Linked DNA regions of Drosophila melanogaster. The protein of the gene in region 1 interacts with the protein of each later gene in a pairwise test. Each region holds a gene or a part of one and is shown in the gene's direction. Other genes may lie near its edges.

Evidence for each region.
Region 2: the proteins of ninaD (region 1) and CG5382 interact in a two-hybrid assay, tested with the Drosophila melanogaster proteins (one large-scale study listed by BioGRID).
Region 3: the proteins of ninaD (region 1) and RIC-3 interact in a two-hybrid assay, tested with the Drosophila melanogaster proteins (one large-scale study listed by BioGRID).

The regions. Positions count from the first base shown.
Region 1 is NT_033779.5:18,079,842-18,084,161, forward strand, and holds ninaD (neither inactivation nor afterpotential D), read left to right. Parts: upstream 1-1,786; 5' UTR 1,787-1,823; coding exon 1,824-1,952; intron 1,953-2,011; coding exon 2,012-2,314; intron 2,315-2,382; coding exon 2,383-3,194; coding exon of another isoform or gene 3,195-3,198; exon of another isoform or gene 3,199-3,255; intron 3,256-3,257; coding exon 3,258-3,348; intron 3,349-3,412; coding exon 3,413-3,619; 3' UTR 3,620-3,767; downstream 3,768-4,320. Other genes in the region: Arr1 (arrestin 1), read left to right, coding at 116-245, 306-353.
Region 2 is NT_033777.3:22,364,036-22,367,924, reverse strand, and holds CG5382 (uncharacterized protein), read left to right. Parts: upstream 1-1,941; 5' UTR 1,942-2,111; coding exon 2,112-2,213; intron 2,214-2,276; coding exon 2,277-2,388; intron 2,389-2,455; coding exon 2,456-2,649; intron 2,650-2,704; coding exon 2,705-2,906; intron 2,907-2,967; coding exon 2,968-3,257; 3' UTR 3,258-3,352; downstream 3,353-3,889. Other genes in the region: Polr3F (RNA polymerase III subunit F), read left to right, coding at 771-1,163, 1,222-1,710; CG7071 (uncharacterized protein), read right to left, coding at 3,418-3,728, 3,798-3,889.
Region 3 is NT_033778.4:21,015,994-21,023,820, forward strand, and holds the start of RIC-3 (RIC3 acetylcholine receptor chaperone), read left to right. Parts: upstream 1-1,790; 5' UTR 1,791-1,959; intron 1,960-2,151; exon of another isoform or gene 2,152-2,275; intron 2,276-2,738; exon of another isoform or gene 2,739-2,765; intron 2,766-3,069; exon of another isoform or gene 3,070-3,089; intron 3,090-3,165; 5' UTR 3,166-3,393; coding exon 3,394-3,589; intron 3,590-3,746; coding exon 3,747-3,866; intron 3,867-4,093; coding exon 4,094-4,248; intron 4,249-4,999; coding exon 5,000-5,140; intron 5,141-5,197; coding exon 5,198-5,324; intron 5,325-5,507; coding exon of another isoform or gene 5,508-5,528; intron 5,529-5,892; coding exon 5,893-6,140; intron 6,141-6,340; coding exon of another isoform or gene 6,341-6,382; exon of another isoform or gene 6,383-6,469; intron 6,470-7,071; coding exon of another isoform or gene 7,072-7,172; intron 7,173-7,440; coding exon 7,441-7,593; intron 7,594-7,668; coding exon 7,669-7,761; intron 7,762-7,827. Other genes in the region: Sou (souji), read right to left, coding at 1-1,207.

The DNA.
Region 1 (4,320 bases):
TTAAAAATCGTATTTTCCCGGTGACTAACAGTTCTTTAGCTAAATGTGTTTACAAAATGGCATAAAACGCATACTAATACTAAGTGAAAAATGCATATTTAAAATTCTATTTCAGTATTGCCAGTCAGGATGCGAGGGATGCCTTTGGCATAATTGTTTCATATGCTGTGAAGGTCAAGCTTTTCTTGGGAGCCCTGGGCGGCGAGCTCTGCGCTGAGCTACCATTTATTCTGATGCACCCGAAGGTAATAAAAGGTGTGCCCAAATATTTGAATAGTTATTGAAAGGCAATCAATTATTTACAGCCAAGTCGCAAGGCCCAACTGGAAGCCGAGGGCTCCATTGAGGCCTAAACTGAAAGGGCTACCTCAACCAACGAAAAAAATGGCGTATTTCTACAAGTCAAACCGATTTTTGTAGATCCTAAAAAATGCTGATGTTGCTGAAATGTTCTGAACTGCAGTCGTCGTACTTTTCCTATATAGCAAATCCAATATCCATATATTGTATGTGTGTATGTGTATTATATTTATAACTCAACTAACAATTAAATATGAACAGAGTTTATGTATGTATTTTGGAGTATTCTATTGAATTTAGCACGGTGTATTTGAAAAGGCTCCAGCATTGAAAGTTTGTATGGAATGCGCACTAAATATTTAATAATGTGCTTACGAAGGCATTTCGTAGTATTTGATATCTTGCAATGTCTGCTGATTATGTACATTGAAGTGCAATGGGGAAATCAACAGAAGCCAGTGCAATCTATTCAATTACTAATAGTGGGTCTTGCATTTGTGGCTTAGTAATTCCAATTATTGCTACTCTGAAAAGCCGAGGAGCAGCCTAATTAATACTTGGCCACTATGCTGGAGGAAGTTTACTGAACTGAATTCGAGTAAGGAAAATGGACAATAATTGATATAATATGGTGAGCTTCTTGCTGGACTTTGAAATCGTAAAATTTAAGCGAACACACTTCAAACGCATCCATTTAATTTGTGAATGTTTGCAGTCCCACTTTTAATAAGCACCCAATATTAACGATAACGCCACTCTAATCAAAATTTTCCAATAGTCAGGGTTGAAATACTGATCAATCACGCTGCCAACATTTCGGCAGACCAGGTGGGTAATGAGTTTAAAATGGTTTTGCGTAATGGGATTAATCGAATTTCATTAAGGAAGATTAGATTGCCGTCTTTGGAAGTGATCTTTTATAGTGGCTGACCATAAAAATTGCATTGCAAATACTAATTTAAGCATACATGCTATATAACCGATAAGATGGGCGAGCGTCAAGGCAAAAATAGTTGACCGTATTAATAGTTTAATCAACTAGCTTCAAGTTAATTTATAATGCGAATTAGGAAGCACTCTGGCATGCTATTAAAAACTTAAGAACTGATAAACGAAACTTAATTCCTAAAATAAAAATGTACCTAATTACTTTTATATACTATTATAAATAAAATTGTACCATGTATCGTTAAATTTGATTTAGTTACCAAGTGGTATTTGGTACGTGGCAGCATGAAATAGCTACTACTGCTAGTCTGGCTGATTAGCCAGCACTCTCAATAAACTAAGTGCAGCGTTTTGCATTTATCAGGATTTTTGGTACTCTAAACACACACTTAGATCCCAATCACCCCACAGAATAAGTTGAGCAAACCAAACCGAGCTGATTACCACAGTAGACATGATGATTAGCCGCTGCTTTATTTACTAGTGGATAATCTACTAAGCGACGCATGAATAAAAACTCGAGCGATATTTTTCCACTTTGCAGTCGCTCGAAAGCCTTTGTTTCGTCTCTCAATATGTGCTGCAGCTGCTGTGGGGTGACCCAACAAAAGGCCTGGGTCTTCGGCCTGGGAACCTTTTTCGCGGTCTCCGGACTCCTGGCCATAATATGCTGGCCTGGCTTTATAGACTCAGGGATTATGAAGGTGAGAGGCGGTGTATAAAAATAAAATTAAGGAGGAGTACTAATCGATTTATTAAAAAGGCCTTGCCGTTGACACCCACTTCAAAGACTTTTGAAAAATGGGAGGAGCTGCCCATTCCGGTGTATGTCTACATGTATCTTTGGAACTGGACAAATGCCGCAGATGTGCAGGCTAATGGAGTAAAACCTATTTTCGCGCAACTTGGACCCTATGTTTATCGAGAGGAGAGGAAGAAGATGGATCTTGAGTGGCACGACAATGGCACAGTTACCTTTAACCCCAGAAGAACTTGGTTCTGGGAAGAGGAGCTCTCTGGCGGCAAGCAAACGGATTTAATTACCGCCCCACATTTACCTTCATTGGTAGGAAATAAGCAGTTATTAAAAAACAATTTGGTCTAAAAGAAGTTTTCCTTTTTCACTTTTTGCAGGCTGCTTCAAACCAAATGCGGAATAGCAACGTCTTCCTGAAATTCATGTTCAACGAGGCCCTAAATGCGAATGGTGGACATCTCTTTGTGACCCACACGGCAGCTGAATGGCTGTTCGAAAGTTTCTACGACGAATTTTTGCATTACGCCATGACCCTGAATAATCCATTGGTCCCAAAAATCGAGTCGGATCACTTTGCCTGGTTCCTCAACCGTAACGGATCGAAGGACTTCGAGGGTCCCTTCACTGTACACACCGGAGTGGGTGACATCAAGGAGATGGGTGAAATTAAGTATTGGAAGGGCCAGAATCACACGGGATGGTACGATGGAGAATGTGGACGTCTCAATGGCAGCACCACGGATCTTTTTGTGCCCGATGAGCCCAAGGAGAAGGCTTTGACCATCTTCATTCCGGATACTTGTCGGATCATAAATCTTGAGTTCACCGGACAGAGCGAAACAATTCAGGGCATCACGGGTTGGAAGTACGAGATAACGCCGAATACCTTCGACAATGGACAGATCAATGGTAACGCGAAGTGCTGGTGTCCTTTGGAGCGCCAGCCAGATAATTGTCCTGCAACCGGAGCCACTGACCTAGGACCGTGTGCCGATGGAGTTCCCATGTACCTTTCTGCGGATCATTTTATGTACGCGGACGAAAGTTATGGCAGCACGATAAGCGGCTACAATCCGAATTACGATCAAAATAACTTTTATATCATCATGGAGCGCAAGATGGGAGTGCCGTTGAAGGTCAATGCCAATGTGATGATTACCTTGTACATAGAGCCAGACAGCGTTATAGAGTAATTATTTACAATAATTGTTGCCTACCATATATATGACTTGATAAACACATTTTTTCCTAGCATACTGAAGGGCCTGCCCAGCTTCTATGCACCACTTTTTACCACTGCTAGTCGAGCGGAAATCGACGAAGCCCTCGCCTCAGAACTTAGGGTATGTTTTAGAGCTTGTTGAACTACGTTGATTTCTATTTTAAATAATGCATTTTGTCTTTTAGTTGGCACTGAATCTACCGGCTATAGGGAGATATACTGGAGTGGGATTCCTGTGCCTGGGCTGCATTCTTATAGCAGTTGGCATCTTACTTACCATTAAGAGGAAGTGGTATGGCCAGGCCGAGTTGGACAAACTGGCTCTCAAGGATAACGAGGAAACTCCATATGAACCGGAAGTTCCGGCCAACGTGGTCGAACGAAACTTTTAATTTAGTATTAACATTTTTTTTAATGAGCAGCACACGGATGTGATTCAAAAAACATATATGTGATAAATAACTCTAAACATTTTTTATTCTAGCTTTAAAATATAAAACTTCTAAACAACTGAAAAAATTAATAAAATTTAAAAAACTCATATAACTATTGTCTTCATTTTACAATAATTAAATTAGTTAAAGCTTATATTTATCTATGTGGTTTTTTAAATGATTGAGTGAATGAATTTATAGAAGCTTGTACACAAATTTAAATAGGCTCTTTAAATAAAGGTTTTATTTTAGAACATTTTTTAATTGTTTTTAAAATTAAAATTCAAACATCATCTGTGTGTCTTTTTTAGTTTATAATTAATTCATATACACAAAAGAAAAAGAAAATTAAATAAAATCATTAAAATTAAGATTTAAAAAACTCAACAAATTTGTATAATAGTTATGTGATTCCTATACCTATTTAAACGATTTCGTATCTCAGTTGTATTTTCTTTTTTACAGTGCATCTAATGATTTATCTAATGAGTGAAACGAAATATAATCACAAAACTTCGTATAACATTTAACTCAGGCCGTAAAACAAGCCACTTGAAAAAGCTTTCGGAGATTAGCCTATCAGAAGCGTTCCAAGTGGAGAATTCAAAACAAATATAAAAATAAAAAAATCACCTGTTAATTTGCTCTTGAAATCTAAT
Region 2 (3,889 bases), on another chromosome or scaffold:
TCACCTTTACACATTTCGCTAACGAGGTTCTTTTGAGATTGTATGGGTGTGCGAATTGAATTCGCAGCCGTGCTTGTGTGTATGTGTTTTGTGAGGCGGCAAACGCAATTCTACATAATGTGGAGAAATTGCTTGCATCATCAACAACAGCAAAAACAAATGTCTTGCCCCCGCCAATTTCGTTAGCAAAATTTCTAGCGTATTATAATGGAATGATGTTTAGCTTGAGGTCGTATCAAGAAGATCTGATAATTACCTGTTTTTGACAGTAAAGGTGAACTCGCGGAAAGATGTATTTGCTCTTCCTGTTTTGGAATTATTTTAATTCAATTTAAATGCACAGGCAGCGAACACTCCAATCAGAAACAGTGCGTCCGGCGATCTGTTCGAAAAAACAGTTGGCACCAATGAGCCTAAAAAAGCCACTCGTTTTTAAAATAAATACCATTTGGTATATACATACCAGATTCACGATATAACATTTGGGGTCTTCGGAAAGCTTTAAATTTTATTTAAAGCAATTTGTAATAAAGCCTAAAACATATGCTCCTTATTTATCCTCATTTATTCAGTTGCGTAAAGTATTATTTTTAATAGAACAAACTTATATTTTTAAAATTGGTTTGTGATTTTTGTTATTTTTTAGCTTCTTCTTAGCAGCGGTAGCCATTCGCCCGGAACCGTTTGTTTTTGTTTTGCTTTTCACGGTAAGCGTGTTGTTTTTCTCGATTTAATTGAATTTTAAATAACAAATTTTCGAGAATAGAAAAATGGCCACTGAGGTGTCGCAACTTTTGCTGGCGGTGGTCCAGGGCATCCCAGCCGGTGCCACCAACGATGACCTGACCAAGGCGCTGCCCGATGTGCCGGCGGCCACGCGGGTGGAAGCTTTGAATATACTGCTGCAGGAGGGCGGGATCGAGATCCTGAAGAAGGGTGAAAAGCTGGTGTACCGTGCCAAGGACCCGGAAAAGAAGAGTGCCCTGCCCAAGGATGCGGACAATGAGGAGAAGGTCGTCTACGGCATTGTTGAGGAGGGCGGCAACAAAGGCATCTGGATTAGGGATATACGTATGAAGTCCAACCTGAACATGATACAGCTCAACAAGATCCTCAAGAACCTAGAAACCAAGAAGCTCATCAAGGCGGTCAAGTCGGTGAACGTAGGTTCTATGATCCCATATTCCAAGTTCAATGTGATTCCAAATTTTCTTCGCGCAGGCCAGCAAAAAGAAAGTGTACATGCTGTACAACCTAGAGCCGGATCTCTCCATTACGGGAGGAGCCTGGTACCAGGATCAGGACTTTGAGGTGGAGTTTGTGGATGTGCTCAACCAGCAGTGCCTGCGCTTTCTGCAAATGAAACGCGACAGTGCGGAAAAGAAGCGCGAGGGGCCACTGGCCTTCAAGCAGATGTCTTGCTGCACGGTGAACGAGGTTCAGAAGTTCATCTCGGACTTGGGCATCAGCAAGGTTAATCTGGCGGAGGCCGATCTGGAAACAATTCTCAAAACAGTGGTGTACGACGGCAATGCGGAGCGAGTGCGCCAGCAGGATGGATCCTTCGTCTACCGGGCGGTGAACGCCCCACTTCCTCCGACTGGTCTGGTCCAGATGCCATGTGGCATTTGTCCCGTCATCAAAAACTGCTCCAATTGTGGCGATGTAACTGCTATAACTTGTGAATATATGCGAGATTGGTTGGATTAGGGATTAGCTCGAAAACTCTGGATTTTATTTTATATTAAGTATTACAAATTGAACTTATTGTTTATTAAGCTTTTTGTAGCACAAACATTATTAACTCTTAAATGTTATGGTTACCATAAAAAAAAGGAAAATTTGAAACCGATTTTTTAAATCGCAAACACATATCGTATTTCATCATTCATCGCTACGATATTCGCAGAATATGTCAGCTGGTTGCCAATCGCCCGGAACGCATGAACAGATACGTGGCTGTTGAATATGTGAATGAAAACTCGAAAATTCCGACAAAAGCTGCGAAACGAAATAAAATTTAATTTTATTGAGGCGTTATTATGCGATAGCTGTCCCAAGGCCGCCAAGTGCAATTCCTCCGCCGCCTTAGGAACCCCGAATTTAAGGAAATGGGTTTGTGCAAGTGCCCCAAGCGCCTGGTGACCAACCAGTTTTGCTTTGAGCATCGAGTCAATGTTTGCGAACACTGTATGGTTCAGTCTCATCCAAAGGTAAGGATTCCTGTCCTCTAGTTTTATGGATGCTTGGAATACACCATATCCACTCTTTTTCAGTGCATTGTGCAGTCGTATCTGCAGTGGCTGCGGGACAGCGACTACATCTCCAACTGCACTCTGTGCGGCACCACATTGGAGCAGGGCGATTGCGTGCGCCTCGTCTGCTACCGTAGGGATCTGCCAGTTTTGAGCTAATCCAGACACCACACACTTACCCATAATCCTGCCATTTCCAGATGTTTTCCACTGGGACTGCCTGAACGCCCGCCAAGCCGCACTGCCTGCCAACACAGCCCCTCGGGGTCACCAGTGCCCCGCCTGCAGTGTGGAGATCTTTCCCAACGCCAACCTGGTCTCCCCGGTGGCCGATGCTCTGAAGAGTTTCCTGTCGCAGGTTAACTGGGGCAGAAATGGCCTGGGACTCGCCCTGGTAAGCATTCCGGGCAGTAAGCTTGTAATCAATTTAAATGTTGAATCTTTCCCAGCTCTCTGAGGAGCAGAGCAGCAGTCTGAAGGCCATTAAGCCCAAGGTGGCAAGCCAGGCGGCTGTCAGCAACATGACCAAAGTGCACCACATCCATTCCGGTGGCGAGCGAGAGCGCACGAAGCCCAATGGCCATGACGCCGTGAGCCCACATTCCGTGCTCCTAATGGATGCATTTAATCCCCCAAGTGCGGGCGACTACGGTGCGCATAATCTAGCATACACTTTGAGTCATATTATAATTATAATCTTACGCACCTGCAGCCAGCAGCAGAAGACCGCTGCTGCCCCGTCAGTCGCCAATTGGTGGGACAGATCGAGACGATAATAAGTACCAGCGCCGCACTCCTGCGGAATTGTTCTCGCGATGGACACGCCGCTTCTATGCGCCCTCCTCGCGGCCGCCGTGGCGTCGCACTTGGTTCCTGGTGACCGCCGGCATTTTGGCCTTTGTCTTGTTCGTCTATCTTATGGCCTGGCTGGGTCGCGGAGGATCTGATGCCGTGGACGAGGGCTGGAATAACCCCAATCCACAGCCGAACCACTACGAATAGGGTGTGCATTCACGGTCGAAATAAGCATACGTAGCATATAATCGATATCCAAGTCCCCGATTCCGAAAGAATAAAACTTTTACAGCTATTTATATAACCTAACATTGCAAAGCGAAATAATACAACGACAAAGAACGATTTTTACTCGCAGATCATCTATCTAGTCAACATGGGGTTTCAATGTCTGGACTTGACTTCCCTCGGCGGGCGGGGTGCGCTTAGCCGGCGTCGATGGCTGCGGCTTACGTTTGGGCGCGTCCAAGACCTCATCGTACTCGTGCAGCTTCTTGGCCAGGAAGTACATCTCAGCCAGGGCTATGATGAGCGCTACAATCACGCCCAGCAAGATGCGAAAGCCGAAAGGCAGCGGGCCCACCATCAAATTGACGCCGAAAAAGCCGAACGTAAAGCCAGCGGCCACGGAGAAGATGAACTGCACCACGGCAATGATTTGCTTGTTAAGGCTCTTAACTGAAAGGGAAGGGAAGAAGAAAAAGGTTTTAAAAGGGCGGATCTAACAAGCTGGGCGTATTCACTTACTCTGATAGCTGATAGTGTCCTCTGGATAGTGTTTTAAGCCGGCATCCACATTCTTGGTCATTTTGAGGTAATCCCGATTTTGTTGCTCTGCG
Region 3 (7,827 bases), on another chromosome or scaffold:
CGTCGTTGGATATGACATGACCGCAGGTCAACTTCTTCGGCGGATTGTCCTCGGAAGTCTGCTGGCGCAATATGGGGCAGGCAAAGATCGAGTGGAATCGGAATTCCGGCTGCAGATCGATCTCAATGGGCAACTCGTCGCAGCCGTTCCACATGCCAAGGACTTGGCGCGACTGCATCACCTGCTTGATATTGAGCAAGGCGGGCAGGGCAGTGCATCCGGCATTGACCACAACAGACAGGGCGGAGTTCTTGCTAATGCCTAGCAGTTGGCATGCGTCTTTGAGGAATATGAACGACAGTTCGGTCCACTTCTCCTGGCCCAAGAAGTGCTTGTAAGGCGAGTTCTCCAGTCCACTGGGCAGATATATAAAGCTGGCCATCAAGTTGGCTATTTCGTGCTCATAGCGCACAGCAAACTTCTTGAAGTTCAGTCGAGCGTAGGAGATGGCCTCGCGCTGCGAGTCCAATCCGTAGGAGACCAGCTGCATGAAACGCATGCGGTGCAGCCGGAACTCTATGAGCGAGTGGCGGTCACTCAGCTGCTGGGAGTACATCTTTGCCCACTTGAGGGCGTCAGTCAGATCCCGCTTTTGGATCTTCACCCAAATGCCGTAGATGTCGGCAAACTCGCGCTCCGAGTCGAACACATCCTGGGCATGCTCCGGCGACATCTTGCACTCGCGGATTAGCGTGCGAGCCACATCGTCCATGCCCTGGCGACAATAATGCTTGGCAATGGCCTTGTTCAGCAACATCAGGTTCTCCTCGTCCTGCAGCACGTCCACTCGCATGGTGGACGAGAAGTCGGCGCTAAAGTTGCGGTCAATGGCCTTGCCGATCTTCGAAATGGAGCCGTGCAGATCGCGGTGCTCCGTGGACAGTTTTTGCACGCGCTCGTGGCACCTGGCGAGAGCATTCCGGACGCTCTCCACTTGGCGCTCGGTTAGGCGTTGTGGTGCCGTCGGTTCCGTCTCCACCTGCATGCTCACCGCATCGCCCATGGGATCGTCCTGGGACACCTGGGTGCTCGAGTTCAGAGTGGTCACCAGCTGCTCCGCCCTGCTGAGAACCTCTACCAGCTCCGACATCTGTGTGGCTATATCTCCGATGTCCGCCTCTGCGTTCTCGTGAAGCTGCTCCAGTTTGCTGACCACTCGGGTCAGGTCCTTCTCCACCGACGAACAGGCCAACGACTCGCTGTCCATTGTTAGCTCCAGTTTCGTGGGGTGAAAGCCTAGAAACCAGTCACGCCAGGCGCGCGTTCACTTTCGATTTTACAACCTTTTGCTTTCGAGGATTGATAGCACTGTGATTCTTCAAAGTCACGACGATATTCGGTGGTCCAGCGGAAAATGCGTATTTATAAATTGTTAATTTTATAACACAAAGAAGACGAAAACATTGGAGCTGGGTGGACCACTCACGATGCTATCGATAAATCGAATAATTTTAATTTCGATAAAGGGCAACAGTGCTGAGCGAATTAATATTTGTATATTCCGCATTTTACGTATTACCGTTATATTGGATCCTTAGTTGATCCTTAGTTATATATAGTTAGTCTAGTTTAACATCATAATAATGCATAATAAAGTAACCATTTTACGAACCAAATATATATTTGACCTTTATATATTAATAATAATGTGATTCCATTTAAAACAATTACAAATATACAAAAATTTATTAAATCCCATAAGCCTTCTATCAGTGTAAAGGATCCGTTAACTTTAAACGATAGAAAAGTATCGATAGCACTCGCATGCATCGATTGACAGCCAATGCTGCCCATCTCCGTTCGGTCGACTGAAAAATCAATTATTATTGCTGCTGCTTTCTGGCAGAGAAACTTATAACGACAAACAAACAGTTTGAAATTAGCGTAATTAGATAAGAAAACGAACTTTGAAACCAAAGGTGTTAGTCTTTAAAAACGAAACTGATAATTATTTAAAAGGTACCTCAGAACACGAGAGCAATTCCAAGGACAAAATCTCCACACTTTGAATTCATAATTTTTAAAAATAAGTGATGAGTCTTAAGCCGAACGGCATTGAACCCAAATTACAAATGCTGTGCCTCCAAAAATAAAAGCGCAGAGAGCTCGAAAAACGTTTTCCAAATTAATGTAGACAGTGACAAGAAGAGGGAAATTTTTAAAATAAAAGTGGTGGAAATAAGAAGATGCTGTGCAAATAACAGACGTGCATAGTAAAAACAATTTTACTTTCGCCACTTTTCAGTCAGTGCGCTTGAAAGCGAAATGGAAAACGGTCGGAAAACTCATAGCACTTGGCAGTGTGTGTGTGCGTGTGTGATAACAAGAGCGAAGAAGCTGCGAAATGAAAAATATGAAAACACGAAATTTCGCACACAGTGCTGGTCAGCAAAACAGCAGCAATAGCTCAAAAAATTAAATTTAAAATTATATTATAAAATTTTTTTGCTGAAATATTTCAAATTAAGTTTGCCCAATTTCCCAAGCAGTTATATGTATTTTGATTTAAAATCTATTTCCGAAATGAATTAGAGAGCATTAATGTTATGTCGGCTGCTGTAGCGTAGCTCTCGGAAATTCCCGGTGCAGGCCCAAGCTGCAAATCACTTGTCTCATCAAAAATAAAGGAAAATAATGGCCGACGACGATTATGGGGAAAAGCGCGCCCGAATGGTGTGTCGGGTCTTCAGATCTGATCTGCCGAAAATTCGCTAATAGTTTCAAAAATTTGCCTGGCCAGTTCGGGAACAACATTCGAACTTTGCGTAAGCAGTCGCTCTGTCCAGTTTTCTGTTTTCATTTTTTTTCGAACCCTTGGTCGTTCAAAAACCGTTTTCCAAAAGCGATACGAAAGCATTTTCTTTTGGAGAAACGTTCAATATTATTTATGCGGTCGTTAATTGTGATTTGTGCGGTGGGAAAAGTGAAAATAATAAAGAATTATTAGACGGGCCGAAAAGAGCGAATTGCGCGAGCTAAAAATAAAAAAGATCGGGACCGCTATTTATGTAATAAACTTTTTTGTTTTCCCGCAACAATATTCAAACGTATACAGCATTTTGCGCTGCGATTCGTGACCGATCAGTGATGTGAATACAACTCCAACGAAAGCCGGAATCAGCGAACTGTAGCGTGTAACCGATTATGCATCTATGTATCTTTCAGATAATGCTTTAAACGTACAGCAAATCAACCATTAGCCAGCCAAAATGAGCCAATGCCAAAGTTAAACAGCAACTAGAAACACAGCGCATAGTCAACAGCTCGCAGGGAGCCATCAACGAACCAAATCGATCAGGAACACATAGCAGAGTTGCCTTAGGGACTAGCTTTAACCACGAACCCATAGCCAAACGAATCCAGATAGCCCACGGAATCCGCTACCAAGCCAAAATGCCCGCTACAGCCACATCCAAGCCGAGAGCTCCGCTCGTCGAGGAGGGCATGACGCCCAAGAAGACCGCCCTGATCATCGTAACCGTGATCGGATGCATTGCCATCCTGTGGCCAAAGGTCTTCCATCCCATGATGTTCGGAGGAGTGCCTCCAAGCCAGCCAAACTTCAAGGATCCACGAGCAGCACCAGGCGGTAAGTCATCAGATTCTATTCACCACATTAGGAGCTAGGGCTTATAAATGTTGTACTTTACTTAATTTCATTTATCATTTATTATTTATGAATTATCATCATGATTTTCTTTTGATTTCCGTATGTGGGTGTTGTTGTTGTCCGGTCGATGTTGTAGGATGTTGTGATGTCGTCCTGGACAGGGAGCAGTTTCTGAATGCCACGAAGAAGGACACTGTCGAGCCCTTCGGTCCGCATTTGTATCGCAAGCAAATCAATGTTTACACGGGCGAAATAAGTATGTGGCTCGATTATTTATAATTTGCTTATTGGTTTTACTAACGGTGTTTGGCTCTACTAACAAGATTGTATCTACATGAAACAATCGATTGAGATACATTTAGATTCCTAACCTTTACGGTATTAATGAGTTTATTAATGTTTGGGTTTCTAAAATGTAGTGTTTATGTCAATTAAAAATTTGATAGTTTAATTGTGTTACTAATGAATCCATTGTGGTCGCAGGTCTGCGCCAGGAGCGTCCCGCCCACCTGCATCCGGAATCCATATACCAGGCCATGAGGGAGCGGGGTCGCGCCATTCCCGCCACGCCCACCGTGCCGATTCTAGAACGAAAGACTTCGCCCAGTAATCCGCCTCCGCGGATTGTCGACGGACGGGTGAGTTGGGCTACTATACATTTAACCATACGGTGTGCATTATTCTCCGGACGATAAATCCATAATTATAATATATATAGTTATACTGGTCGGCGGGCTGTGGTCGATGTGATTATAATGACGGCGGGATGAGACATATCCGCGCTCGCGTTGGAAGTCATTTATAAATAGCCAAACGTTTATTTTATTCGGATTCGGGTTTTGTTTTTATGACACTGCACGCAAATTGAAGGCAAGAGACAGCGCTAAAGAAAACACAAAAAAAGAATTTGTAAATGATGAGTGGGAGATCGGCCGAATGTGCTGCTGCGTATTGAACTTGTGCCAAATTCAGTGCGCCAGTTCCATTTTGCTCTCATCGCTACTAGAATGCTAGAATGGCCGGGGAGCACAAATCAGCTGTCCTCGCCTCATGTCAAAATACAACGGGGCGGATACGTAATTTTAATGATTACATGGGTTGTCAATAAAACACAATCGATTCCCTTCTCCTACAAAGACATCAATTCAAAAGATTTCGAAGACAACTGTCTTGAGTAATCTTTATGTCAATATACATCGCGGCGGATACGTAATTTTTATGATTACATAGGACAATAGAATATACATATTCGATCAGTTCAAAAATATCTAAAGACAATTGACTTAAGAAACCACCGGGGCGTATACCTGATACATTTAATATGACCTTGATTGTTGGCGGCATTCTATTGTATTTCAGTAACTTTTGACATATGTATGTACTTTCTAGCCTGGACCCATTCCTGGAATGCGTCCACCCATGGGCGCCGGTGCACTGCATCAGCCACAACAGCGGGGCAGCAGCATGGGCTTCCTAATGCCACTCTACACCATTGGCATCGTAGTCTTCTTCGGCTACACCCTAATGAAGGTGACTCTCTTTGATCGTATATATGTAATTATAATACTATAAAACTCTTACATGCAGATTATGTTCAAGAAGCAAGTTCCCAATGATCCGTACGGAGCGGCGCCTCCAAATCCTGCCTTCCGGCAGGAGGTCTTCGGATCACAGAACCACAGCCAGGTGGAGGATTTGGGCGGCAGCAAACTGGGTGAGTGCCAGGCCAATTCGGATGCCATCTTCCGGATTATTACACTCGTAGTTGGACACACACACACACAATCGCTCTAGCCACCGCACTCACGATTCAATCCTAACCGAAAAAAAATCGCATTTTGTACTCTTCTGCTTCCAAAAAAACCCATGCACACCGAAAATCATGCCACGGTATCAGGCTGGCGAGAGCATCAGACAAGTAAGCCAGATATATATAGATGGTTGCATAGATGACCATAGAGTTTCGTTCGTATCTTGAGTTTCTAGACCTCGACAAAGGCCTTTTGAGTTTTGAAATATGTCCTCCTCATTTGGTATCGTAGTATCGTAGCGACTATGTGTTCTATTTCATTTACCTAGATGTACTCATTCTAGATGTTGTGTGCCTATATACTATTTATAAATATATATATATACTAACCCCGAATTGATCACGCTTCCATGGATATATACATTTATTTTGTTGCCACTCCTGCACCCGTGTAAATACTCCTTAGTTTCGTTAGTCCCTCGATTGATTCGATTTCCGGCCCTGATTACCAAACCGTACGACAATTTTATAGGAGCTGCCACCGCCACTGCCGCCGCAAAGAAGCCGGCCGCCAAGGACACCGAAAAGGAGCTGTACAACGCCAGTGTGTCGGCCACCGAGGTGGCGAGCAGTTTGTCCGCCTCTCTGAAGAGCCACCAGCAGCTGAAGGAGGCCGAGCAGCTGATGGAGATCGAGAAGCTGCGCCAGAAACTCGAGAGCACGGAGCGGGCGATGGCCCAGTTGGTGGCCGAAATGAACACCGATCAGTATGAGGCAAAGGTTAGCATCCAGCATCCAGTATCCAGTAGCTTCCTACCATCGTCATCGAATCGGAAAAAAGCAGATACAGATACAGATATAGCTATACAACGCGACTCAGATACATCTAGTAGCACATCATATATCGTAGTGATTTCAGTTGGACCATCTCGCTGTCATTTGAATTAATATTTGATCTCTTTTGTGTTCTCATTTTCAAGATGATTGCCCTCAAGTTTCTCAAGCGGCAGCCAAACTTCTAAGACAATAATAACCATCATTCAGTTCACATAGAATCAGTCAGTAAAACAGACCAAAATCAGACCAACAACAACTCAGATCACAACTAAGTACAACGAACAAAGTCAACTAGATTATTTCTGTTTTCAATTGGTTTCTAGTGAATAGCTGAATCCTCGGAATGGTTTCTTTTACCCCCCTGCCACATCCTCCCCCCCAAAAAAAGCCTTCAGTTCTAAAACTATGTCACTCTGTCCTTAATCTTCAAGTCTAACAAGTGCATGGAACGGAATTCTCCCGACTCTGTTTCTAATTTAACCTGCTTGTCTGCTGTCGGCATGCGATATATGCATATATATATATATATATAAACATATCTTTTCACATACTCGTATCTACTAACGAACCCAGTCTAAATGTGTTTGCATCTCACTGAGTACTCTCGATCTGAACTAAACTAAACTCTTATGATGGGGACATATTTTACGATTCAAAGCAGTCTTATTCGAAATCTATTCGAACACTATACGTAACTTTACATTGCCAATAAAGATAATCGCAAACATCATTTCATACTCAGAGCTACAAAGAAACAACTATATAAATATTCACTCTCTGTGTCGTTTCTACGTTTTTCATGTTTCTCGCAAAAACACAAAAAAAAAAATGAATGTAAATCCCAAATTGATACCCTGTACTTTCATGGGGCTAGTTGTTACGGCCATACAAGGTTTGATAGACGCGGCCGACGAGCAATTGAATGGCCAAGACAAGCAGAGGGCGACGAGCGACACTGAAACTGATTCGAATAAGGTTAGAGACCTTCAAAGGGTCCGGCACGGCAATCCTTGAACATATAATTTGTAACAAGAACTTAATCTTTTTGTTTATTAACCAAGATCCTTCGACTAATTGAGTTTTGTTGCGTTTCACCTAACCACAACGAATTGAAGTAATTAATGCGTTCGATTTCTGATTTCTTGCGTTTTGAGGCTGTATAGAATTGCTTAGCTCTCACATTCTACTGACTGTTTCGAGAGTGTCCTCTCTAACCGTATTATATCCTGTGTATCCTGTGCAGAAAAACGACAACGAAAAAACGAGGGAGCAACCACTAGACAAGCAGAACCTATCCAATGGACATGCAAGCAGCACCGACCAAAATCCGGAGCAGGAGACCGTGGCGAAGGGAGCCAGGAAACGGCGGGATCTAAGCGCTGAACAGGAACTGACGGTATGCCATTATATACCCTGTATAGCACCTTTGAGTACGTAGATCTTTGCCGTAAATAATCGAATATTGGTGCAGGTACTCGGCATGGAGTTAACAGCCAGTTGCGAGGGCGGCCACAAGTGGACTGGACGCCCTCCAACGCCTGTTTTCCGAGCGCCAAGCGAACATGTAAGTGCCACTGACGCACAGACCCCCCACCACTTTCAAGTTCTCAACTTAACTAGACTAGTTTCG